Linked DNA regions of Arabidopsis thaliana. The protein of the gene in region 1 purifies or fractionates together with the protein of each later gene. This does not show direct contact. Each region holds a gene or a part of one and is shown on either strand. Other genes may lie near its edges.

Region 1 (7,661 bases):
CCACAAAAGTCAGAATCAGTGACGTTCGTTAATCCCACCGAAAGTCGAGTTATGATTGTTCGGAAGAAAAAAAAATCATATAATTATAGAATTATACGTATCAAAAGTCTCGCAAGTTACGTTTTTCTTCTTCTTCATTTTTGAGTGCAAATCTCGTAAATTACGTAAAATTTCTATAATCATCATGAGATTATAATTCACGTGAATTATATATTCAACATCCGTGATTTGTTCTCAGCTTCATTTTGGGAGAATAATTGTTGACTTTTTTTTTTTTTTTTTAAATTGTTAAATTTTTACTTTTATGGTAAAAATATTCGCTGATTACTTTACTATACTGTGTCTGTGTGTCCCTGCTTCATTTAATAAAAACAAAATATATTACTTAGGGAATTCTTCAATTTGAAAACAAAGATGAATCATAAAAAGACTTTTTTGTGTACAAGTTAATTTAAACCATGTACAGTATGTGGTCGAAGCCGTATCTTTTGATTATATCTCAGTCGATCAATATTGTTAGATATTTCTTGGAAAATAAAGATATAAGTTTGAATCAAGGTTTAAAAACTAACGAAATAAATTATCTTTTGATGAACAAGGTTTAAGTGGTAAAATGTATATGTAGATGTGGAAAAATCATATATTGCGATTAGGTAGTGTTACGGACAACATACAGATCAACTCATGATACATACTCAAGTCATGTGGGCTCTTGTGGCTGTGTTACGGTTTGGTAACAAAACTACATTCAAACCCAACTAGTTCCCTAAAAGAGGTAGGCTTTGCACTAAATAATTCATACCCATGGTTCGTGGAGCAGCAACGGTCTCACATTAATTCATACCCAAGGTTCTTGGAGTAGCTATGGTTTCACGGGCTCTCATCGATCTCATCTGGAACATGCAATTTCTCCATTGCAGCCTGTTTCAGACAATAATAACCAGTTTAAGCTATGAATCCTTGAATTTTCAGATTTAAAAACCATCATTGGACGACTCTGTTTTAAAGACTCGAACCTTTATTGCAGCAACGTCAGTTGCAGGCGGTTTCATATCTAAAGCTAGACCGAAATGAAGCATGGCTTTATCGTGCATGTTTCGCCGCTTATAGATCCTGCCCATTAAAGCGTAAACGCTGCTCTCTGAAGGCGCATACTCTTTGAGCTCCTCAAGAACTTCTAGAGCTTCATCTAATCTTTCTAAGCAGACAAGTATGTTAGCTTTCTGGTACATTGGAAGAGGGTTTTTTCTATCTGCTACTATGGCTTGCTCCATTATCTCTAGTGCTTCCTCACTTCTCTATTAACACAAAACAAGAAGAAGCATTTAGTCATTCTTCAAAGATTGTTTTTCTTGTAGACCTGATAAGATGAAAGTAATAAGATAACCTTCAAGGCATGCAAAGATGTCCCTAAATAAGACATTATAACAGAGGAACTCGGGTTTATTAGGAAAGCCATTCTGAAGTGATGCTCTGAGAACTCTAACTTCTCTTGGCGTAGATATATCATTCCAAGCCCGTACCATGCGTTGTAGTGTCTTGTATCTACACGAAGTGCGTTTTGGTAACTTTTCATTCCGTTCTCAAAATCCTCAAGAGTTGTGTATCTACAGAGACAGTAAAGATAGAAAGTGTCAATTAGACCAATAACCAGATAATTTTAAGCACATTGTGCAAGACAAAGTCAAATGGATAGAGGCTCTCTTACTCGTGGCCACATAAGGTATGTGCATATGCAAATCTTGGATTCAGTTGAACAGCTCGTAGGAAATTCTTCAGTGCGGTCTCATGGTCCTTTTGCAAGCTATAGCAATTTCCCATAGCACACCTACATAATTGATTGCTTATTTCTCTTATTACCAACAATAAATGAAAACGTTAATCAGAAAAACAACTTCGACAAAAAATACCAAGATTGAGGAGCTAAGCGATCGGTTGATATTAGTTCCTGAGCCAAGTAACTCAGCTTCATGTCTTCCTTCAAATGCTGCAAATAAATATCATATCTTGCTGATGAAAAATTTACATAAATGTGATTTCTTTCCGCACTCATCCGAGATTGCATGTTTAGAAACCAGGATAATACACTTACATAGAGGACCGTAGAGTATATATCCATTCCTTCTAAGCAATAAGGAGAAGCCAGACGGGCAAGACGGAATGCCTTTTCAGCCTCTAAATAGTCAATTAGTTCAAAGTATGCTTTCCCGACCTACATTTAATAGCCATAGTATGTGTATATAAACCTTTCAACAATAACTATCACAGGCCACTAGAGTAAAACTGATTCAGGCTATATCCATATATGGCAGCCTAAAAGAGAAAGAGTCACTAGTTACCTGGGAAAGAACCCATCCTGTATTATAATGCTTATGTGGAAGTTTCATATACGTATCCAGTGCCTCCTGAACGACCCAGAAGCAGAAGGAGACAATGAGATAAGCCTATATAGGTTCACCTCACTTGCATAATTCACGAGAACAATAATATGCCTACCTGACACCTGTACATGTATGAAAGTCTACACCCTTCTCCGAGTGTCCTAAGGAGGTTTAAAATTTCCGAAACACCAATTGTGATTGTTTGAGAACTCATTGCTATGCCACCAATCGACATTGTTTCGTCTTCTTGATCATTGGAAGCCATAGAACCAGTCGTTGAGGCAGTATTAGGCCTTGAATCATCAAAAGGTTCCCCACGGACCCCTAAACCCATCAGAATGACGGTATTACAAATATGCAGACACCAAAAATAGAAGGCATGATAACAATAGTCACACAAGGGCAGATTTCAAACAATATAGTGGTATAGTGCATGGAATGTCACAACCTTCATCCATGTTTTCATTTGCCCAGGAGTGTCCCTTCCGAAGTGTTACAGAACGAAGTGCCAAAGAACTCAATTTAGAACCTCCCAAATACTTGGAAGCGTTGTTCACATTTCCGCTTACTGTTGCAACACTTGAATTAATGTTTGCCCCTGAATCAGCAGACAGTCTTGAACTCCGTCGTGGACCAGAATCAGAAAATAGTCTGCCAGAAATCTGCAAACATAAGAGACATGCACTCACGGTAAGAAAGTTGGTATAGAAAATTTCATCCCGAGTACGAAATAGACTATTACAGAGAAAGACCAATAATTCAAAATTATGATTTGATGATGTCAAGTAGAGATATGTGATTATGTGAATCCTACCTTACGTAACTTTCCTTCATCTACAAACTTTCTTCTAGGTGCTTGAAGAGTAGAGTTAACAGTGGACTTTGGAGAACTGTCAGTAATAAGGGAGTTTGGGTTTGCAACAGCTGGCTGAAAATTCCGGAAAAGTGGTGGTGGAGCTATACCGGATAGCTACAATTTCAAAAATACAAAAAAGCATTTACTTACAGCTGTTATTATTCAGATAACTAAAAAGGTTGATAAAATTAACAAGCCAAACCAAAGACACTAAAACATAATGAAGACCCCATTTTTAATAGTCAAAAGAATAGACAACCCATTCTTTTGGCATAACAGATATAGAAAAAACAGATACAAACGCTGTGAAATCAACACCCATGATGCACAAATCTCCTAAGTACTACAGAATGTGTGATCAACAGATGGAGATATAGTTGTATTACATAAAAAAGCAGTACGACAATTGTGTGACATTACCTGTGCAGCCACTGGCGAAGGCGTATTATAGAATGACATGTTCGAAACACCTCCATTAACTCCATGAGAATGGAAATTTCCGGAGATATCTTTAAGGCCATGGCTTTGTGTGTGTTTAGACTGCCTTGGACTATAATCTTCAGAACTCGTGTTTTTAGTAGAAGTTGAATTACGTTCCTCGTTGTAAGTGTTTAAGCCGAGGGAAGTTGACAGTTGTTGCATATACTGCTTTTGAATGGAGAGAGCAGCTGTTTCACCAAAAACTGCAGTTGCTTCCTCAGCAGCACCTGAAAGTTGAGCAGACAGAAAAGTGTAAGAGAACCATAACATATCTGTGAAGTATGCAGAAAACGGATTATGTTCACCTAATATACATAATTCCTCATATGCAGCCCAAAGTAGAGGGTCTATTGTCAAGGACTGTTTAAATTGTTGAGCAGCATTCTTCCTTCTATCAGTATACCTAAAAGGTCACTGTTATATATGAGGAATCATCTCATCTAAGCCATTCAGAATCAAGAAAAAATGCATAGACAGAACAAAAAACGTACTTGTAAATAAGTCCAAGAAGGTAATGGCCTGCTGCACCATTTGGGATCTGCACAATAATCAGAAGCATGTTGTTATCTTCACTGAACTAAATCAATAAATAAGGTCCAGAAACTGACACACTGTTTTTGTAAAATGACATTCAGTAAGCGAATAAAGGCAAAATACCAGAGAACATTAAATACCTCCGCACCAGGTTCATTAACAGGGCAGAGTGCAGATTCAGCTTCATTGAGAAGGTCCATCTGGAAGCATGATAATGCGAACAAGTATCGGGACTGAGCCATTTGTGTTCCTTTACATAACAAAAAAAAAATATATATACAAAGATAATCAAAACGACCTAACAAAAGAAGGTGCAAAATTCTGACTAAAAGGCTAACAAGCAACAAGTCAAGAAACAATGCCACGCACCCTTTAGCAGATGATATGCACTGTAAGCTTGATTATTCTGCAGGTAGCTGGTGGCTAATAGCTGCAAATTAACCTATATAAGAGGAAAATTCAGAAAGTGATCAAACAAAAAGGCCAATCATTTATTGACATGATTTCTACTAACTGAAGCTAGAAACTGGACAACCACTACGAATGTTGAAAATATTCCAGACCAAAGGCTGAATGAATGAATACTTTCTCAACTACTATTGAAGCTGTATTAACCCAAATTTTAACAAAGCTTGAGATAATCCCAGAGACATTCCTCTAACAGTTGACTCATAGCTAAGTTCCAAGGATAATAAATACTTAAACTTGAGATCACATATATGGACAAAAGTCATTAACCCTCAAAATGCAAATTTTCCAAAGACCAAATCAGTAATGAGCATTGAGCACAGCTACTAGAGAAAACAAATTCAACAAGAGAGAGAAAAGAACACGAATTCATCTCCTAATTGAACACACGGATCTTGAAAACAAAGGGCTAAAAGGTAAGAAACCAAAATCAATCTCGAAGAACACAGTGAAGCTATCGAATTCCAAATCCAAAAAGAGACGCACTTTCGACGAATTCATAGATACCCAGAGGAATTACAAACCCAAAAATATCAAATTTACCATTCCAAGAGCTTCGATTTACAGAATTTGAATTAGAGAGGTAAAATCAGAGAGAGAGAGTGAAAGAAGAGGGTGATTACCTCAGAAGGAAACTCAGCGCAGAGACGCTCGCACATGAAAATAGCATTTTTGTAGACAAAATGACGAAGACTGTTGTTTACACAGTCCACAAGCATAGCTTCCATAGTTGTTGCCTTTCTTCCTCGAGAGAGAGAGAAGAGAGAGAAAAGAGGGTTTTCTGTTTTTTCTGCAACTTTTTATTTTTTTCTTACCATTTGGGATTTTTTTGAAGTCGTCGTGATTTCAAATTTTGATGCGGCACGTGCGATGCTCTGTTTTCAGTCTATTCCGCACGTGACAGACCCATTAGCCTTAAGTGTTAAAATTTGTATGGGCTGAGTCCGTGTGTTTTCATTTTTGGGCTTAGTTAGCTTATTGGGCTTTATAATTGACCATTTGAATATTAGTATAGATGAAGACAACGATGATGGTGTGATTACAACCGTTGGAAACAGGAAAACAGAGCCGATTCATCGTCATTCATAAAGCAAACACCTCTTCAAGATCATCTCGCGGTCGCGGATACTCCATGTCGTCCACCACATGTAACATTGCCATGAAATCGCTGACGATGTGAGTCATGTGACGTATGGAGAAGAACTCGAGGAAATCAAAGAAGTCGAAGAAGGGTATCATAATAATGAATCGAACTATCGAAGATATTGCGCTACTTGAACAAGTGTTTTTGTTTGGTTGAATAAGCAACAAACTATTATTTTAGCAAAATACTAGAACGTGTCTGCAGGAAAAGTTTCATATCTACGATAATCATTTTCTGATACTCATTTCAAACGTTGTTAAACGGATCATGAATCATGACTTCAAGTTAGAATACTTCAAGTTTCAACCATATCATCATATATCTGATGTTATCCATCACATAAACATTATGAGTTTTTAAAGGACCATTTCATGAACCATCGTTGCAATCTTGAATTATCAATCAGAAATCTGATAAATTTGAAAAAGAAAGATGAAAAACAAAGGTATTAAATATACAAATTTATAACAGTTGACAACATATAACAAAGCCCACAAGCTTTTGATTAGTACAAAAGAAGAATATTTCACTAAAACGTTTCTACTTTCTTGTACAAGTAATTTAATTTGCCAAATACCAATCGCTAGCCGCTTTAACCAAAATATATTCCACACTTCAAACTAAACCGGGTTTTGTACCAATGTAGTAAGTAGGTCACTCTCAGGTTAGCTTCCTCGGCAAGTTATAGGTCTTTTTCAGAAACTTAGTCGCAGGTTCATCGTAACGGTAACACAATACTCTTAAAAGTGTGTTTGGTTCTGTCGGACTCCACGGACCAGAAGTCGGCGGTAACGGAAGCTTCCCTCTGTCAGAACCATGATTCTCCAGACACACTGCTTTAAACCGTTCAATCAAAGAATCTGTATCCGTGCGCAGCAGCGGAAGTATACTCTTGACAGTCGTCGAAACCTTCTCGATCAAATCCAAAGGCAATCCGTCTCCGTTTGACCAGAAAAGATCGCATAGAAACTTGAAATCCTCTTCTACGGCAGCAGAGTCTTGAATTGTGAAGCCACGCGATGGTCCACCTGCAAGGAGGACCAATAAGAACCCGTCGAAAGAAGCTCTCATGATGTCCGAAATGACTCTGGTTCGGACTCTGTCATGAACCGATGAGGAGATAATCTCAAGGCACCGTTCGAGCTCTTGAAGAAACGGCTCAATCCTTGAGGAAGGAACTTCCCCGAGGTACAGACCATCCCAGAGAACATTGCTCAGATCGTGGAAGACGATCTTGTAAGCAGTTGCTTCAGACAATTGCTGTATTCCTTTCGAGCAATAACTAATCGACTGTTCAAATATTTTACCTTTAGCATCCAAAGCTGCAACTTCGGATTCCGGGAGACGATTCAATGTTTTTCTCCCAGATGATTCGATCTCTGTCCTGATATACTGCAGAGTGTTGATCCTGCAACAGAACTGAAGTATTTCCGCCGAGTCATTACCCGTCCCCAGCTGTGATTTTCTCCTGTGAGAAGCTACCATTGGCTTCTCCTTTTTCTTGAATACACCATGTAGTCTGGACCCGACCGTGCATCTTGTTAAAGCAGGCAAAACGGGTAGAAACGTATTCCGCGAGCCTAATAGAAACCATATAAAAACAAAACCAGAAACTCCATAAGTGAAATGAACAAAGCGTGAGCTTTTTTATTCCAAAAACTAAACAATCAACTGCTTACCGCAGGATGATTTCGCCTTTGATACATAATGCTGCATACACTTGTCTAGTCCTGACGTTAGCTCAGGAAGTAAAACTGGATGCAAAAGAATCGGCAACAAGAAAAACGCTTCCAATGTC
Region 2 (3,973 bases), on another chromosome or scaffold:
GGGCATCATCAGTTTCGCCCCTTCCAGTATGCCTAATCTAATGAACTCAGGACCTTGCATCCTCATAAACTTCCAAGATATAGAGATGAAAGCTCTTCGCTTGATTACAGGTACAAGCACTTTGGACAATTTGCTCCACTAGGAGGGGACCAAGCAGCAGCTGAACTACCTGGAGACTGGGTTTCAGCTGGAAAAAGCGCCCAGTGGCTCTGGTATTCTGTTTATGCCAGGTAAACGCTGAGAAACTCTTTTATTCATTATAGTAAATGCACAGAATTTGAAACATGAAACATGAATGATGCAGCAAGCAAGTTAGCTGGCGAACGAGGGCTCTGGTGGTGTCGGACTGGACAAGGAGGTACATATTCGGGAGGGATTCAAGCCGCATCTGACTCAATACTGCATTTTGTAATGTGTTTAAGAGGAAACCAAGATACAGTCTCTCTCTTTTTCGTTTGTTTTTGGTGTAAATTTCACAAAGCTGTGGCCAAACTTCTTGTTTGTGAGTGGCAAAGCAAAAACCTTTTGAAAGAATCTTTCTTCATGAAGCTGACATTTACAAAAGATAACAAAAACTCACAATCTTAATGTGTATTTAGAAAAGACATTAAGCATTCCAACAAAGATTCTTGCTCTGCGAGCCGAAAAACAAAATCAAAACCAAACAAATTCACAATCAAGTAACCACAACAAGAGTTGTGGATTTTACTCAAATTGATAAGCGGATCATTCATTCTTCAAACTTCAGAAGCTGGCAAAAAGTGAAGTTACGATCCTTGGCTTGTAATTCTGCAACTCTCTTAGCAGCACCTGAATCACGAGGGCTCCCTCCCACACGACGAAGCGTTCTGATCTTAGGTAGCTCCTTAACTATAGGAGACTCGTCACCGTTCTCACCACTGCTATACAGATCAACTTCACTTGGAATCTCCCATCTCTTCTTCACTCTCCCTTCACTCTTGTTACTTTCATCAGAAGCTCTTCTCTTCTCCGACCTCTTATGATTCTCTTTCTCTTCATCCTCAGGCAACGACCTTTTCCTAACATCTTTCTCTCCAGTCTGCGTTTTACCCATTTGACTGTACCTACTAGCCACAACTCTTCCTGGTTTCAATGGTTTCCTTAAAGAAACATTCTTTTCATCTTCTTTGAATAGCCTCTTAGGCTGGATTGTTAAGAGAACTCCTTCTTCTTTCTTCACAGCTCTCTTTGACCCCACCGTCGTAGCTGCTTGCTTCTGAGCTGCCGTCATTTTCGCTTTGCGAGATCTCGGACTCAGACTCAAACTCGTTCTTCCTTTACCTCGTGTCGTCACTTGACCTTCTTCGATTCCAGGAAGCTTAAAGAAACAAGACTTGCGTCGATTCTGAGCTGATTGAAGAGGAGTCACAGTTTCAGATTTCTTCGCGGAATTGAATATCTCCGCTGGTCCAAGACTAACGCCTCTACGAGTGGCTCTTGATTTCGATCCTGTAAAACACGAATCGTCGAATTTCACTTGTTTCTGAGATGATTCCATGAACTTCGCCGGAACGATTCTTCCACGTATAGCAATGCTTCTTGCGGTTTGCTCCGCCTTCTCTAATCGGAGCGACTCCAATTTCGTCGATAATCGTCCGATCTCCTTCTCTACTTCTTCGATCTCTGCATCGATATCTCGCTTTTTACTCCGATCTGCGGCGGATTTGGTCTTCACGGTCTTGGATTTTGCTGACGGAGCTTCGGTGATCGAGACTGAGGATTGGAGCGAAGAGGAAACCGAAATCGGAAACTGATTCTCCTTGCTACAATCGGAATCGAATGATTCGTTGAGGTGAGACCAAGAAGAAGCTTCGATGGCGGAAGTGATTTGAGAATCTCCATCGTCGAAGGCAGCGTTGTTCCAGATCTGAAGCTTTGGAGGAGCGTTAAGCGTTTCTGTTGCCTCAATTGATGTCATATTCAGAGCGATTTGATCTTCTTCTACGAGAAATTTAGGGTTTGGAGAAAGAATTGGACACTTGAGGAGGAAGAAGGAAGAAGCGAGTATTTCTTGAGGATTATTTGACCGTTGGAAATGAAGGAGACGTTACTCATTACTCCATTAAGGAGCGTCGTCAGATTTGGACCGTTGGATTAAGCAGCCACGCTCCGATTTCATTCAAAGCCAAGTTACATAAATGGGCCAAATAGCCCAAGAGCTGATCTCGTTGTGGGCCTCTTGTTCCTCGCACAATTGGCCCGACGAATATAACATTTCAGTTTGCTCGTAAGATGAATTATAGGACCTACCTCAATAATGACAACCACAATAGATAAATAAATAAAAGCATTATGGAGTGACTGACTTGTCTGTCTCTTTGGATAACGATGGTTTTGGAATATTTTAGTACTATTGTTTAATTTAGAATCGTATTTTACTGTGGATAAAGTTGAAATTAGTGGTAATCGCAATCAAGATTCCAGATTGTAATAAAGTTGGTGAGCGAACGATGTTTTAAGATATAGAAAATGAACAGAGTTCTCTCATAATCCAAGGCTTGCTTTGATCTTTTAGAACATTCTAATATTCACAGAGATGTAACCAAACTATACAGTTGCATCCAGAAAATCCGACTCAAGCGATTTCATAAGCACGAGTCAACCACCACAGATGAACCAAACTATATACAGTTTGCATCAGAAAAAAATTCTGATTCAGCGGAGTTCATGAGCGAGCCACGACCATCATTATCTGAATTTAGCCTTGAGCCCAGCAGTTGAGGTACATGACTTGTCGGAGAGACTCATCGGGAGTGGAAGAAGAGGTACGACGTCTTTCTTCCGAAGGGAGAGAGTCGCCGGTTAGATCTGCGGCGGCGAGAGGACGGAGATCGGAGGAAAGTCTTCGTTGGAGACGGTGAGCAGAGGTGAGACCGCTTTTTAACTTGACGCCGTGATCGGCGTTTCCTTGAACAGCTACGAACGATGCTGCCATCCACACTTTGTTCAGATAACTCATTCTTTAATAGTGATTATATGTTGTAGATCCTTTCTTCGTAAATTGGAAACCTTTGAAAGATTTGAGAAGCTTTTGTTAAAAAGGAAGATTAGTTCGATTTTTGTAGGAAGGAAATGAAGAGATGAGGTTGGTACTTATAGCCAGAGGGATATTGGGGTGAGGGTAAATAGGTAAATTCAAAAAGATCTAAAATAAGCGATACCGTGCACAATGGATTAGTGGGATCCAGGTATAGGAAAGCGATACGGTACGATATGGTTAAGTTATCGTGAAATATCTCGGGGGAAATTGAAAGTGCTGAGTAATGAGGAAACAAGTGGCGAGCTTAGAGGGTCCTATCCTCAAGATGAGTCACCCTTGCTTCAATTATCGACCCCTTCATGTGGGCCCCATTCTTAATTATTTTTGTAATTTGGTTTTTTTTTTTTTTTTTTTTTGTTGAATGTAAATTTGTTTTGTTTTGTTTTGTTTTATACGAAAATGAAAAACCGATAGGTCGGCCTAAAACCAAAATGGAACGATGGTTTTATGTGAGGGGTGGGGTGGTGCCTAGAGACTAGGATAGAGTCCCACGAGGGGATTGGTTACGTGTTAACCGATTATTGGGTCATCACGTGCCCCTTCACGTGATATTACTGTCCATCAATACTTCTTGTCCCTTTGCTTCCGGTTAATTTATTATTAGTAGTGAGTATTTGTTTTTACTTTGATTTGCTAAGTGCTATCTTTAATGACTAATCCAACCAATTATATGTGAGTAGTTTAATTTTATTTTATTTTATTTTATTTTATCACCAATATATTAATGAGTAGTTTTAACTATCATATTCTTCTGTCATTCTAATTTGAAAACGTTTATTAGTGGAATGAGTGAATCTTGTGATAGTTGGACTTGGCTTTGTGAGGATGTGGGCCGTTCACATATTATGCTTATCCCACTTATACTAGATAAGCCCTGTCTGCTTCTTCTACTAATCTAAGCATATGTCTATC
Region 3 (7,086 bases), 7.7 Mb from region 1:
CATCAATGTAATCAGAAATTGTAAATCATTCGAAAGCTCTAATTACCTCACTAAGCATAAAAGATTAACATAGGATTATCTTAAAAGTCAAAGTTCACTAATCCTTAAAGCAGTCGAATTGAAGAAGTAGAGAGTGAAGATACCAATGGTGGAGGAAGAAGAGGCTTGAATAGGGGTCGCCATTAACGAAGACGTTAATGGAAGAAAAAACGAGACTTTGGGTTTATCCTCCTGACGTCTCAAAGCAAACTTAAGTGAATATGAAGAAGACGCTGAAGTCGAGTGCTTGGAAAAGTGGTGAGTCGATAGAATTCTTGAATTGATCGTCGGAAATGAGATGCAAGAGATGAAACCCATTAAGACAAAAAAGCAAAAAGCTTTGGCTTTTGACGACGAAAAAGATTGAGTTGGCGTGGGGAAAGAGATGGGATTCTCCGTGAGACTTTGGTAATGGGTTCTCTTGGTGTGTTTTAACCAATGGCGTATTTACACGTCACGACGTCCAATGTTGTAGAATATTGGTCTTTTTTTTCGTTTCTTTTCATATTCTAAGTTTGTTTATAGGAAACAAAAGGAATGACATTTGCTATTAATATTAATGTTAAGGATTCGATAGTTTTACAGTTTACACACTCTTCTGTCTCTCTACTCTTCACATGAGCTCAGCTTCTTCGGTGTCTCCATCAACATCTTCAACATCGTTCTCGTCATTCTCATCTGTTGCATCTGGGTCTATTCCCTGCAACAAACACCCCAATTTTGTGAATACACTAAACATCATCCTTGTTCGAGCTTCATAATAAAATGGTTCGATTTGATTCTTCCCAACCTTCATTTGTTTCTCCAAGCGATCTAGTCCCTTTTTGGCTGCCTCATTCTGTGGATTTATTCTGCGTTTACATTATTTACACTCTGTTATATCGTTATTGTTTCGCATAGGAGCAACAAGAACTATAAGCACTACTGGCTTAGAATTTCATAAACCTTAATGCAGCTTGAAAGTGTGATAAAGAATCTTGTAGCATATTCGTTGCAGCAAACACTTGAGCTAGCTTGACGTGGAGAGAATCATCTGCATAATCTTTGAGATATCGTTCAAGTAGTGATACAGCATCTCCATTCCTCCCTTCCATTAGATGAAGCTCAGCTAGGGCTAACACAGCTCCAAGGTACCCAGGTTCCAGCCTCAGACCTGACTCGTAAAACTTTTTTGCCTGTTATAAAACCATATCATTCTACTGTTACACCATAAATTTTTATACATAATGTAAAGATCACAAGAAGATACTCACAAGCTCTGAATAGTTTCTCAGATTTGGTATACACTATGCTTATCAAAATTGAGATTTGAACAGTTAAGTTTAAGGAACTTTCCCAGTTTCAATATTTAGTATTATATGCAACTAACTCCCTAAAGCTTTCACCGCTTCTGATTAAGATGTAAAAAATCTGGATAGAATATTGATATGATGAAAATTGACACCATAGAAGCATAACAAAGCTGAATGTTTGTACCTTTTCCCTGCCACTTGATGTAAACGCATGAACATCACCAACTAATTTCAGAGCCTTCGCGGATTGAGGCATTGCATTCATTGCTTCCCTGGCGGTATACAATGCTTCTTTGGTTTTACCAAATGCAAGATAAGAATGGACTAAGCCTGAAATGACCTCAATAGCGCAAGTTAATTACACACTCCAACCTTTTCATGATTGTTAAAGGTTTATACCACCAAAACAGTACAACAGTGGAAGTGTATATCAGATCTTTTTCCCTCGTGAACCAGACCTTGATATGAACGAAGATCGGACCTCAAATTCTGGGCAGCCCTGAAGGCGATCGCTGCAGCTTCTGGTCGTTTTGCTTGTAAAAGTAGATTTCCCTGACGTCTTAACAAATTAGTGGATATATATATATATGCAAACTTACTAAAAATAAATAAACTCCTCGTTGAACTAGCTTACCTTCATTATGTAGCCGGGTATGTGCCTCTCGTCTACCCTGATACTCTGATTGCATAGTGTATGTCATGAGCTATCACACAAAGATTTTGGCACAAAAATTCAGTGTCAGAAAAAAGCTAACCTTCTCAGCATAAGATAATGCCGTCCTTGCATCTTTCCTTTCCCATAGTACAGACAAAGCAACAAATACTTCTGCTCTGGTATGATCAACGCTTAATAAATCGTGGACGAGCTTGTTTAGCCTGGAATAATCACACTTAATCTGAAGCAGCATCGCATACTCATCCATACTGGTTAGTGTGTAAGGATCAATTGACCGAACCTATAAAAGCTTTTAGATGATTATGCATGAATTAAAGAAGTTGAGAATTGAGAAAAAAATATCCATGTGGTGACTACCTTCTCAAATCTCATTATGGCCTCATCATTTTTCCCAATAATGGCTTCAACCTATACAAATGAAATAAATGTCAATCAGCGTCAGTCATGATAAAATGAAAAATTCAGGTGAAATTCTGTTTGCATCGTAGTCGATGTCATCCCTAACCTTTGCTGTCTCAGTCAACAAGTGTACATTATTTGGAAATCGTTGTAAGAGTTCAGCAAAGAGTTCCAGCGCCCCTGAGTAACAAAAAAATATTACACCATATCCAGTAAAGCAAGCATCAGATTGCAGAATTTCCCACAAATAAAATGCAAGAAATGAAATCTACAAGGTTAAAAAAAAAGAACTAAATGCCTTATTTCATCCATTGTAGGCATAGGCATCCCAAAAAGAAAAGAGAGCTACCTTTGTAAGCATGCGAAGCAACACAACACTGGGCCTCTACATAACGCTGTGAAAACAAAGAAAAATTACCGAAAAAGACAAAGAAGAAAATAGATTTTATTGCCAGGTATGCTACAACATGAAACCAATGAAACATCCATCCAAGAAAAGTTATGTGGAGTATTAGTTTCCTGGTTAAATAGTCGAGCTTCTACTAACACAAGAACATCAAAGCACTACTTTGTTAAAGGGAATAATACTATTAAGACGATTTATTCACTTTCCACACATGAACAGCTTGAAGACAGAATTCTTAGAATCATTATATATGAAGTCGTATTCGGGGGAAAATAGTTGATAAAATAAGATTCTAACTCACGTACAATAATCAGCTTGGCGGCATGATTAATGAGTGTACTTTCAAACAATTTTCAACGTTGTAAATCCTGTTAAAGAGTAAGCTTACTTGCAACCAGCGGGTAGGATCTATCTGATCGAGTGAAACCTTTGCACTTCTATTTGAAGTCTGAAATGAACAAATGACACAACAAATTACAAAGTTGTATGGATTTCACACAGAAAAGGTAATTGCAAAATAGAGAGAAAGAGGTGCAAAACACATTTGAAGAAGTGGTGAAAGAAATCTCGTAGAAAGGGACACCTGAGTAAACGATGATATGATATCCTTTGCACTAACTCCCAGTTCAGCTAAACCTATGACGGCTTCAAGTACATAAGGACACTGCCTGCAGAGATTAAAGATTATATATATGTTTACTATGTGTTGAATTGGTATTTAACGTAAAAAGTGAGATATTATAACAGTGTTTCTATGCTAGGAAATGTTGGGAAAGAAAACGAAAAACAGACCTTAAACACTCTTTATAAAAAGCAATAGCACCACGGTTGTATCCAGAATTTCGATGAAGCTTTGCCATCAGTATATTCATCTCTAAGCTCCTGGTCTTGACAGATTCCATCTGGCAAAGAAATAACAAGTGCAAAAATAGATTATAGCTAAGCAGACCATGGCTTTATCATCCCTAATACCTACATGCAGTGTTGGAAGGAATCCAATTAGTTTACTTGTTTTGTAATATGGATTTGCATTGATGGGAGCAGGTCAACGCAACAAAATTCAACTCACATTCAGGAATACTATAACAATGCATTAGTTACGGCCCAAGAATGTTTCACTGAAATTACAGTTACTTAACTCTGGTTATAAAATACAATAGCAAGACATAAAAGTCATCCTATACAAAACCAATCTATAATCTTAGAAATAGAGAAATCCCTAGACAGCTCTTTTACCGTCTCATACACACATATTTTATTTTCTATATACCAAAGTTTCTAGACCAACAAATCCAGAAGACTAAATAAATCTTGAAAACCAGACAAACAGATGACACTCATACCTCAGCAATCGCAGCTTTTGTTTCATTAAGAGCAAAGTGAGATGAAGCAATCTTGAATCTCACCTAAAAGGAAAGTTAGAAAAAGAAGATGCACATGAACTCCAATGAAATTAAACCAAACCACATCACTTTCTGGAAACTGCAACACAGTTATTTACCTCGTTCTCATTAATAGCAGAAATGCTGGAGGCATTCACAGATGATCTGGTAGATAAAGATAATGAACTCCTCGAAATACCGGAGCTTTGCTTCGGAATCCTTGTGTAATGATGCAACGCTTGCTTGTACGTATGCTGACAAAAAGAAGGAATACATATTCAGAATTTCGAGATGACTTCAAAGTAATCCACAGGAAAAGAATAAGCAATACAAATATAAAACTTATCTCTGCTCACTCCATAAATTCATATAATCAGAATCTTTACAATTTTATCATAATCCAGTCAAATTCAAGTTCCGAGAATGATTTATAGAGTTCAAATTTGAGGCAGAACTAAACTATCGAGAACTGAGTAACATTTCCTTCACAGCAAAAGAGAAACATAAAGAATGAAACTTTTGAGAACTTACAATAGCTCTCCGGTGTTCTCTCTGATGAAATAAAGCATCACCCAGTAGAATCTGATTAAAAAACACAGAAAGAATCTAACTTCAATCTAACGGACTCAGCAGCTACTAAAATAGAAAATATCGACGGAGAAAGAAGCTTAACCAAATTCTCCGCCTTGAGCTGAGGACTAGTTTCGGCACTAACAGTAGGAGAAGAAACGAGAAAGCAGCCCTGGATTTAGTTGCATATATAGAGAGAATTTCATTAGCTCTTGATGAAAACTAGGGATTTAGAAAAAAAGAGATAGACAATCAAAATGAGCTAAAAGCTAGAGAAGTTACGAGCATTTCAGCAGAATCGTAAAGCCCATGCTCTATTAAAGTCGCGATCTGCTCCTTTGGAACCTCCATTTCAGAGACAAGAGAGTTCGTCGTTAGTGGCAATGGTGAAGTTTTTTCTTCGGAGCAGCGATGAAGTAAAAGATCCTTCACGCTCGCTCTTCATTTTGAAACAAGAAATCTCGAACCGAGTCAACCCAAACCGACATTAACCGGTTATCTATCTGAAATCCATCTCGGTTCATTAAAACCCGACTTTTCCAAGAGCCCGACTTCACCGAACAATCTCTATCTCCGGTCATGCCTCCATTACCGTCCTCCACGGCGCCTTCGTCTTCGAGACATCTTCGATCGCCGGAAAGTATCGCGAAATTTGCAGGGAGAGCAATATTTCCTGCTTTACAGGGGAAATCGTGTCCGATATGCCTCGAAAATCTAACCGAGCGAAGATCCGCCGCCGTGATCACGGTGTGCAAGCACGGATACTGCCTTGCTTGTATTCGGAAGTGGAGCAGCTTCAAGAGGAATTGTCCTCTTTGTAACACTCGTTTTGATTCCTGGTTTATCGTTAGTGATTTTGCTTCTAGAAAATACCATAAGGAGCAATTACCAATTCTTCGTGATCGTGAGACTTTAACTTATCATCGGAATAATCCTTCCGATCGCCGGAGGTTATCTCTCTCTCTAAGATCCTCTCTATGAAGTTAAAAATCACTTCTTTATTATATTCACTTGGTTATTATTTCATTAGGATAATTCAAAGGTCGAGGGATGTTTTGGAAAACTCTAGCTCAAGATCAAGGCCATTGCCATGGCGGAGATCATTTGGACGACCAGGTTCAGTTCCTGATTCTGTTATCTTCCAGCGAAAGCTTCAGTGGCGAGCTAGGTTGGTTTACTATTGATTCTAACTCTATAGCTTCATTTGCAATCTCCTTTTTCGAAGTGTTAGATTAGTTCGCCGTTGTTTCTAACTAGTGTTGGCTCTAAATACAGCATATACACTAAGCAATTACGAGCTGTTCGATTACATTCAAGGCGCTTGGAACTAGTAAGTTTCATTATACAATGTGTTCTTCTCTGTTTGATGTTTGTAGTATTGGGGTTTACACTCTTACATTATTGGATATATGTTCACATTGGAAGCCTTATATATACCTGCTTCGTTGTGTCATCTTGGATTATTGTAGAGTTTGGCGGTGAATGATTACACCAAAGCAAAGATAACTGAAAGAATTGAGCCATGGATTAGAAGAGAGCTTCAGGCAGTCCTTGGAGATCCTGATCCCTCAGTTATTGTTCATTTTGCGTCAGCTCTTTTCATCAAAAGGCTTGAGAGAGAGAATAATCGACAAACCGGGCAGACCGGGATGTTGGTGGAAGATGAAGTCTCCTCTCTTCGAAAATTCTTGTCTGATAAGGTGGATATATTTTGGCATGAACTAAGGTAAGATTTTTATACGCTAGGGTTTTTTCAGAGTTTCAAGTAGTTACAGGTTTAGTATAGTAGTACAGAAAACACATAGGCAACCTAAACCTAGTGACTTGTAAGTCTGAACAGATGATAGAGCTGATATCTGTTTGGTTTAGGTTTTTTGGTCATATACTATTTCTGATGAGAAAGAAAACATTTTTCAGATGTTTTGCGGAGAGTATACTCACGATGGAGACTTATGATGCAGTGGTTGAATACAATGAGGTGGAGTAATAGCAGTAAAAAAAACAGGTAAAGAAATTAGGATATGTATTATGTGGGTTTGGTTTCACTAAGTAGGAACCTGTTTTGCTTCGATGGTTTTTTTTCTGAAGTCATTATGTTGTATTCGCTTGCAGATAACCGAGCACTATGCTCTCGTCAAATGAAGTAAATAGACAGACTTACAACGCGACTGTTGGTGTCTTGGAAGTTCAATAGTGGAAAGACTGGACCAAGTAAGAGAAACCAAGAGTTAAAGAGTAGGTAGGAGGAAGATGTTGAGATGATGCAAGTTTAGGTGTGGAGTTAGTTTTGAGATAGCTATAGGTGGATTCTCAAATAGCTGA
Region 4 (4,890 bases), on another chromosome or scaffold:
GTCGGGTTGGGGACATGGCGGGTAATAATGGCCGAGCAACAGCAAGGAGTTAGTGCAATCCATGTCCTTGAGGTGATTAGTGTTTAACCCTAGAGCTTCCGAGAGAAGCTCGAAGAGTAATTTACCCAATTTCATCACTTCCTTTGAGTACTCAATCATCATCTCCCTGAAAAAATGTCCACCAAAATCTTTAAGACACACTAATGAATAATGGGGGCGTAAAAATCTTCAACGAAATCCTAGCGCTTATAACTATTTGAATAAGTTATTATTGGATTTATGTATTTCAATTGTTATAAAAATTTGTTAAAAAAGAAAACGTATTATTGGATTAATATTCGTCTAACGAGTAGTGAAACACTATTCGACCATATATAATTTCTTCGGACCGAGGAACACAACATGTTACAAAAGCAAAAATAGTCAAACTCGTAATTTAACAAATTTGGAAATCTTACCCACAAGTGGCGGGTAAGTCCTCCGGTCTCGGGGGATCTGGTGCTGTATAACAACCAAGTGTATCTCTCCAATTCGCCGCCGGTGAGCTAAACAGATCGAAGTTGCTGCTGTATACCATCTTACTAGCTGGATCTCGAGAGTAAAACCCTTTCTTCACTTCAGTGTCTTGCTCGTGAAACTCACGAATCCCATCTATCATCTTCTCCAACACATCCATCGGGATCCCGTGGTTGATCACCTGGAAAAATCCCCATTTCTCTGCCGCGTCTCCGATCTTCTCCACCAAGCTCCGCCGCGTGATCGAGTCCGTGCCACCTCCTTTGAGATCGATTGTGGGGATGGAGAAATCAGAGGAGGAAGGTGGTTTTGGACTTGTTAAAGTAGCCGGAGGTGCACGAAATATCGAAGGAATCTCTGTGATTCCGGCGTCGATAAGGCCTTTCACGCCGGTTTTAGTCTCGTCGAAAGCTTTGAGTAGAGTTGAACGATCAAGTGCAGCAACTTGGGGAAGTGATGACTCCATTGCTTTTAGCTGAAAATGCAATTGCCGTTGGTTTGAAGTTGGATCTTAATACTACAAGTTGTCAAAAGTTTCACGAGTCAACGACGAAGATAGATGAGAAGAAGTACATGTCTTAGTTAAATTATTCACGTTTCCCACGTGGGGAAAAACCGGGACAAGAAAAAATAATGATAACAAAAAATAGGAAAATGGAGATGCGGGGTATCGATCCCCGTACCTCTCGCATGCTAAGCGAGCGCTCTACCATCTGAGCTACATCCCCGATGACGAAAATGTACAATTGGTCAAAATAAATTAATATACGAACTATACTAGTATCATATTCAACAGCTCATTTTGTCACGTTTATATATTGTATATACAATAATTTTTGTTATTATTTTATTTTTGGCCATCAGCAAGACCTTTTTAAAAAATCGCAACAATAATATTATTCAAGTATTCGGATAGTGGCTCTCGCGTCGAAATGTTTTGGAAGCCTGCGTCACTATCATGGTTAATGGCAAGTTGGCAACAACTACATGAGGTAATCCTTTGTCAAAAATAAATAAATTGAAATCTCTGATAAAAAGATAAAATATAGATTCTGTTCTAATACGATATTTAGTCGAAACTAATAAAAGAGTATATACGAACTTTTTAATGTCTTTGTAATTTGTAAATTCCGTTGTAGTTTTGTAAATTTAAGAAAGTTTTGTTGCCCCAAAAAAAAACGAAATTAAAAAGGAAGTTTTATTCGTTTGATTATTAGTTTATTTAGCTTCTTTTATTTCACCTTTGGGCCTTACACATCAAATCAAACTTAAAAGTTAAAAGGAAAACTTTGGGCCTTGGCCTCTGGGTTATATACTCTTAAGGCTTAACCCGACGGCGGTCAACTACCGGCCTGAAATAACCGGTTTTTATTTTTCCTTTGTTTCTCTTTTCAAAGTGCTCACTTTCCCGGTGACTCTTTAGTCAAAATTTCAAATTAATTCCTCTAAGGTGCCCTAATCCCGGCTGCTCGTCGGGGGAAAATAACCCGGCAGGGATTGAGCAACAGCGTGAGTCCCAAAGTGAGAGACAGTGTGAATCCCAAAGTGAGAGAGTGAGTGTTTTAGCGACAGAGAGATATGGCCGGATTAACGAGAACGGCCGGTGCTTTTGCGGTAACTCCACACAAGATCTCCGTTTGCATTCTCCTGCAGATATACGCTCCTTCCGCTCAGATGTCTCTTCCTTTTCCTTTCTCTTCCGTTGCTCAGCACAACCGCCTCGGCCTCTACTTGCTCTCTCTTACTAAGGTTTCACTCTTCGATTTCTCTCGAATTGCAATATCTTGTAGTTTTTTGAGGTTTAATTCAGCAATGTCTTTTGATTCTTCTGAGTTTCCTGGCCCGTCTCTCATACCCGAAGTTGTATCGAGTTTCTTTATTGCATTTCTTAGAGCTTCTTTGCTAATTTCTGAGATTGATTTCAGCGATGTCTGTTGTAACGATTTCACGGCTCAAAACTCTTGTAACTTATGTTGATTTCATGAGTGAATAATGAATTTGCTGGTTTCGTGTGCTAACAAACTGTTCTTTTCCCTGACGAGATTGATATTCATGCTGCAGTCTTGCGATGATATATTTGAGCCGAAGCTGGAAAAGCTCATCAACCAGTTGAGGGAAGTTGGTGAAGAGATGGACGCGTGGCTAACTGACCATTTAACTAATAGATTTTCCTCTTTGGCTTCACCAGATGATCTATTAAATTTCTTTAATGACATGCGAGGTTAGCTACTTGCTTGCTTAAGGTCTGTTTTTTCTTCTTTTCCATCATGTTTGACTCAAATTAGTTATCATTTCTTTGTATGTAGGAATACTTGGGAGCCTTGATTCAGGAGTCGTGCAAGATGATCAGATTATTTTGGATCCCAACAGCAACTTGGGAATGTTTGTTCGTCGTTGCATTTTGGCATTCAACCTTTTATCGTTCGAGGTATTGAGCTTTTTACGTTTGTGTTATTCTTGTTTTATTTTGAGACTGAATAATATTAATATTATTCAACATGACGTGTAGTTTGAGGTTTTGCTTGAAGGACGCGGATTTGTTAGCTTTTTCGTCAGCCACTTAATTGTGTCTAAACATCTATGTGAAGTTTGTTTGTTTCTTGACCCACTACAATGGAGTACTTGTCTAGGCTAGACTTAAATGTAGACGCATGTATAGGTACATTAAAATATGATATCTAATGGCAGAACTCTGGCTGGTCTGGTTGAAGTGTAATATCTAGCTGTAGTGTTCTTGATTGCTGCAGAAACACATAAGTGAATGTTTGAAAGAACCGTCCATTTCATTGATATGTGCAGGGAGTTTGTCATCTTTTTTCAAGTATTGAAGATTACTGCAAAGAAGCCCATTCAAGCTTTGCTCAGTTTGGTGCACCTAATAATAATCTGGAGTCATTAATACAATATGATCAGATGGATATGGAGAATTATGCAATGGATAAACCAACTGAAGAAATAGAGTTTCAGAAAACTGCTAGTGGAATTGTCCCTTTTCACCTTCATACACCAGATTCACTTATGAAAGCGACAGAAGGTATCCCTTATGGTATTCACCCAATTCAGAGAAAACCTAGAGTTTTTCAGAGTCTCAGGTGCTAGAAAACTATGAGGAAATAGAGTTTTATATTCATGATCAGGCTGCAATTTAGCTGCCACTTTTCTCATATATGTTTGGTAATGTATTTTTGCTGATGATTAGCATCAGTCATAGGATCAACGTTTTATCAAAGTCTTTCGATGTGTTTGTATGAAGCTTTTTCAGACTTTTCTTTTTTAACAGTTGGGCTTCTGAAGATATTTCCCTTTTTCCCTTTTGTAATGTAGAAACGATCTACTAAGAAATTAATTTTGTCGGTTTTTTATATTTTTGTTTCATTCTTATGCTTTGACACTCACTTGTCTTGTAAGGATCTCAATGTTATAATAATGCACAGAACACATGAAACATTGCAGGTTTGCTACATAATAGGAAGGAAACATCAAGGACCAGCAAGAAAGATACAGAAGCTACTCCAGTTGCTCGTGCCTCAACAAGTACACTTGAGGAATCTCTGGTAGATGAGTCATTATTCCTTCGGACAAATTTGCAGATACAAGGCTTTTTAATGGAACAGGCCGATGCAATTGAAATGTAAAGTCTCTTTTTCCTTAGTATTTATATATTTCTGTCATAAGTATTGCTAGTTTTTAAACTTTCCATCCCCTTGTAATTTGATGTCAGCCATGGAAGTTCAAGTTCATTCTCTTCAAGTTCCATCGAAAGTTTCCTTGATCAGCTTCAGAAATTAGCCCCTGAACTGCATCGTGTAATGTCTTGCAATTTTGTATTTTATTTTCAGTTAAATCAGAAGTTAATCATTCTTTCAGTGCTTTGATTCTTACATCACGACATGCAACAATGCAGGTTCACTTTTTGCGTTACTTGAATAAACTTCACAGTGATGACTACTTTGCTGCTTTGGATAATCTCCTCCGTTACTTTGATTACAGGTAATCTGTACTTTTTGCTAATTTTCTCTGTTTCCTAAAAATTTATGTTAAGAATAATATTACTGCCGAAATCGTTTATTGTTTGCATGTGACTCCTGTAAATATCCAGTTGTGTTTGCCTGTTAGATATTTGGCACTAGGAACGTTGTTTCAAACATGAGCTGATCCATGATCCATTGCCTTAAAGTGCAGGGACTGAGGGATTTGACCTTGTTCCTCCTTCAACTGGCTGCAGCATGTATGGAAGGTACGAGATTGGTTTGCTATGTCTGGGAATGATGCATTTCCGATTTGGGCATCCTAATCTGGCTCTAGAGGTGAGAATTCATTCTCCCGAGAGCTTCTATAGCTAAAAACTTGTTCTTGACGTTTAGAATCGTCTCT

What was found.
Region 2: the proteins of HBT (region 1) and AT4G28230 purify together in Arabidopsis thaliana (affinity purification with mass spectrometry, with the first as the bait; one large-scale study listed by BioGRID). This does not show direct contact.
Region 3: the proteins of HBT (region 1) and APC7 purify together in Arabidopsis thaliana (affinity purification with mass spectrometry, with the first as the bait; one large-scale study listed by BioGRID). This does not show direct contact.
Region 4: the proteins of HBT (region 1) and AT1G06590 purify together in Arabidopsis thaliana (affinity purification with mass spectrometry, with the first as the bait; one large-scale study listed by BioGRID). This does not show direct contact.

What each region holds. Positions count from the first base shown.
Region 1 is NC_003071.7:8,631,454-8,639,114, forward strand, and holds HBT (CDC27 family protein), read right to left. Parts: upstream 5,848-7,661; 5' UTR 5,448-5,847; coding exon 5,343-5,447; intron 4,694-5,342; coding exon 4,621-4,693; intron 4,502-4,620; coding exon 4,392-4,501; intron 4,256-4,391; coding exon 4,209-4,255; intron 4,121-4,208; coding exon 4,023-4,120; intron 3,945-4,022; coding exon 3,658-3,944; intron 3,352-3,657; coding exon 3,196-3,351; intron 3,044-3,195; coding exon 2,830-3,043; intron 2,706-2,829; coding exon 2,497-2,705; intron 2,406-2,496; coding exon 2,340-2,405; intron 2,213-2,339; coding exon 2,093-2,212; intron 1,988-2,092; coding exon 1,911-1,987; intron 1,829-1,910; coding exon 1,709-1,828; intron 1,608-1,708; coding exon 1,388-1,607; coding exon of another isoform or gene 1,337-1,387; exon of another isoform or gene 1,299-1,336; coding exon 1,017-1,298; intron 922-1,016; coding exon 871-921; 3' UTR 506-870; downstream 1-505. Other genes in the region: AT2G20010 (Gls protein (DUF810)), read right to left, coding at 6,524-7,443, 7,543-7,661. UniProt on the Arabidopsis thaliana protein: Component of the anaphase promoting complex/cyclosome (APC/C), a cell cycle-regulated E3 ubiquitin-protein ligase complex that controls progression through mitosis and the G1 phase of the cell cycle.
Region 2 is NC_003075.7:13,995,260-13,999,232, forward strand, and holds AT4G28230 (uncharacterized protein), read right to left. Parts: upstream 2,049-3,973; 5' UTR 1,940-2,048; coding exon 731-1,939; 3' UTR 520-730; downstream 1-519. Other genes in the region: NDB1 (NAD(P)H dehydrogenase B1), read left to right, coding at 1-26, 111-230, 305-392; AT4G28240 (Wound-responsive family protein), read right to left, coding at 2,720-2,980.
Region 3 is NC_003071.7:16,312,119-16,319,204, forward strand, and holds APC7 (tetratricopeptide repeat (TPR)-containing protein), read right to left. Parts: upstream 5,273-7,086; 5' UTR 5,116-5,272; coding exon 5,047-5,115; intron 4,937-5,046; coding exon 4,868-4,936; intron 4,777-4,867; coding exon 4,726-4,776; intron 4,449-4,725; coding exon 4,314-4,448; intron 4,219-4,313; coding exon 4,156-4,218; intron 3,715-4,155; coding exon 3,605-3,714; intron 3,481-3,604; coding exon 3,396-3,480; intron 3,261-3,395; coding exon 3,201-3,260; intron 2,802-3,200; coding exon 2,756-2,801; intron 2,587-2,755; coding exon 2,513-2,586; intron 2,416-2,512; coding exon 2,365-2,415; intron 2,288-2,364; coding exon 2,087-2,287; intron 2,011-2,086; coding exon 1,966-2,010; intron 1,884-1,965; coding exon 1,790-1,883; intron 1,662-1,789; coding exon 1,516-1,661; intron 1,215-1,515; coding exon 985-1,214; coding exon of another isoform or gene 969-984; exon of another isoform or gene 891-968; coding exon 830-890; intron 740-829; coding exon 653-739; 3' UTR 539-652; downstream 1-538. Other genes in the region: EMB2799 (NAD(P)-binding Rossmann-fold superfamily protein), read right to left, coding at 144-357; AT2G39100 (RING/U-box superfamily protein), read left to right, coding at 5,344-5,714, 5,795-5,932, 6,040-6,094, 6,234-6,490, 6,682-6,751. UniProt on the Arabidopsis thaliana protein: Component of the anaphase promoting complex/cyclosome (APC/C), a cell cycle-regulated E3 ubiquitin-protein ligase complex that controls progression through mitosis and the G1 phase of the cell cycle.
Region 4 is NC_003070.9:2,021,710-2,026,599, reverse strand, and holds the start of AT1G06590 (anaphase-promoting complex subunit), read left to right. Parts: upstream 1-1,850; 5' UTR 1,851-2,094; coding exon 2,095-2,265; intron 2,266-2,577; coding exon 2,578-2,737; intron 2,738-2,822; coding exon 2,823-2,944; intron 2,945-3,315; coding exon 3,316-3,550; intron 3,551-3,969; coding exon 3,970-4,147; intron 4,148-4,237; coding exon 4,238-4,322; intron 4,323-4,420; coding exon 4,421-4,506; intron 4,507-4,693; coding exon 4,694-4,823; intron 4,824-4,890. Other genes in the region: AT1G06620 (2-oxoglutarate (2OG) and Fe(II)-dependent oxygenase superfamily protein), read right to left, coding at 1-166, 459-982. UniProt on the Arabidopsis thaliana protein: Component of the anaphase promoting complex/cyclosome (APC/C), a cell cycle-regulated E3 ubiquitin-protein ligase complex that controls progression through mitosis and the G1 phase of the cell cycle.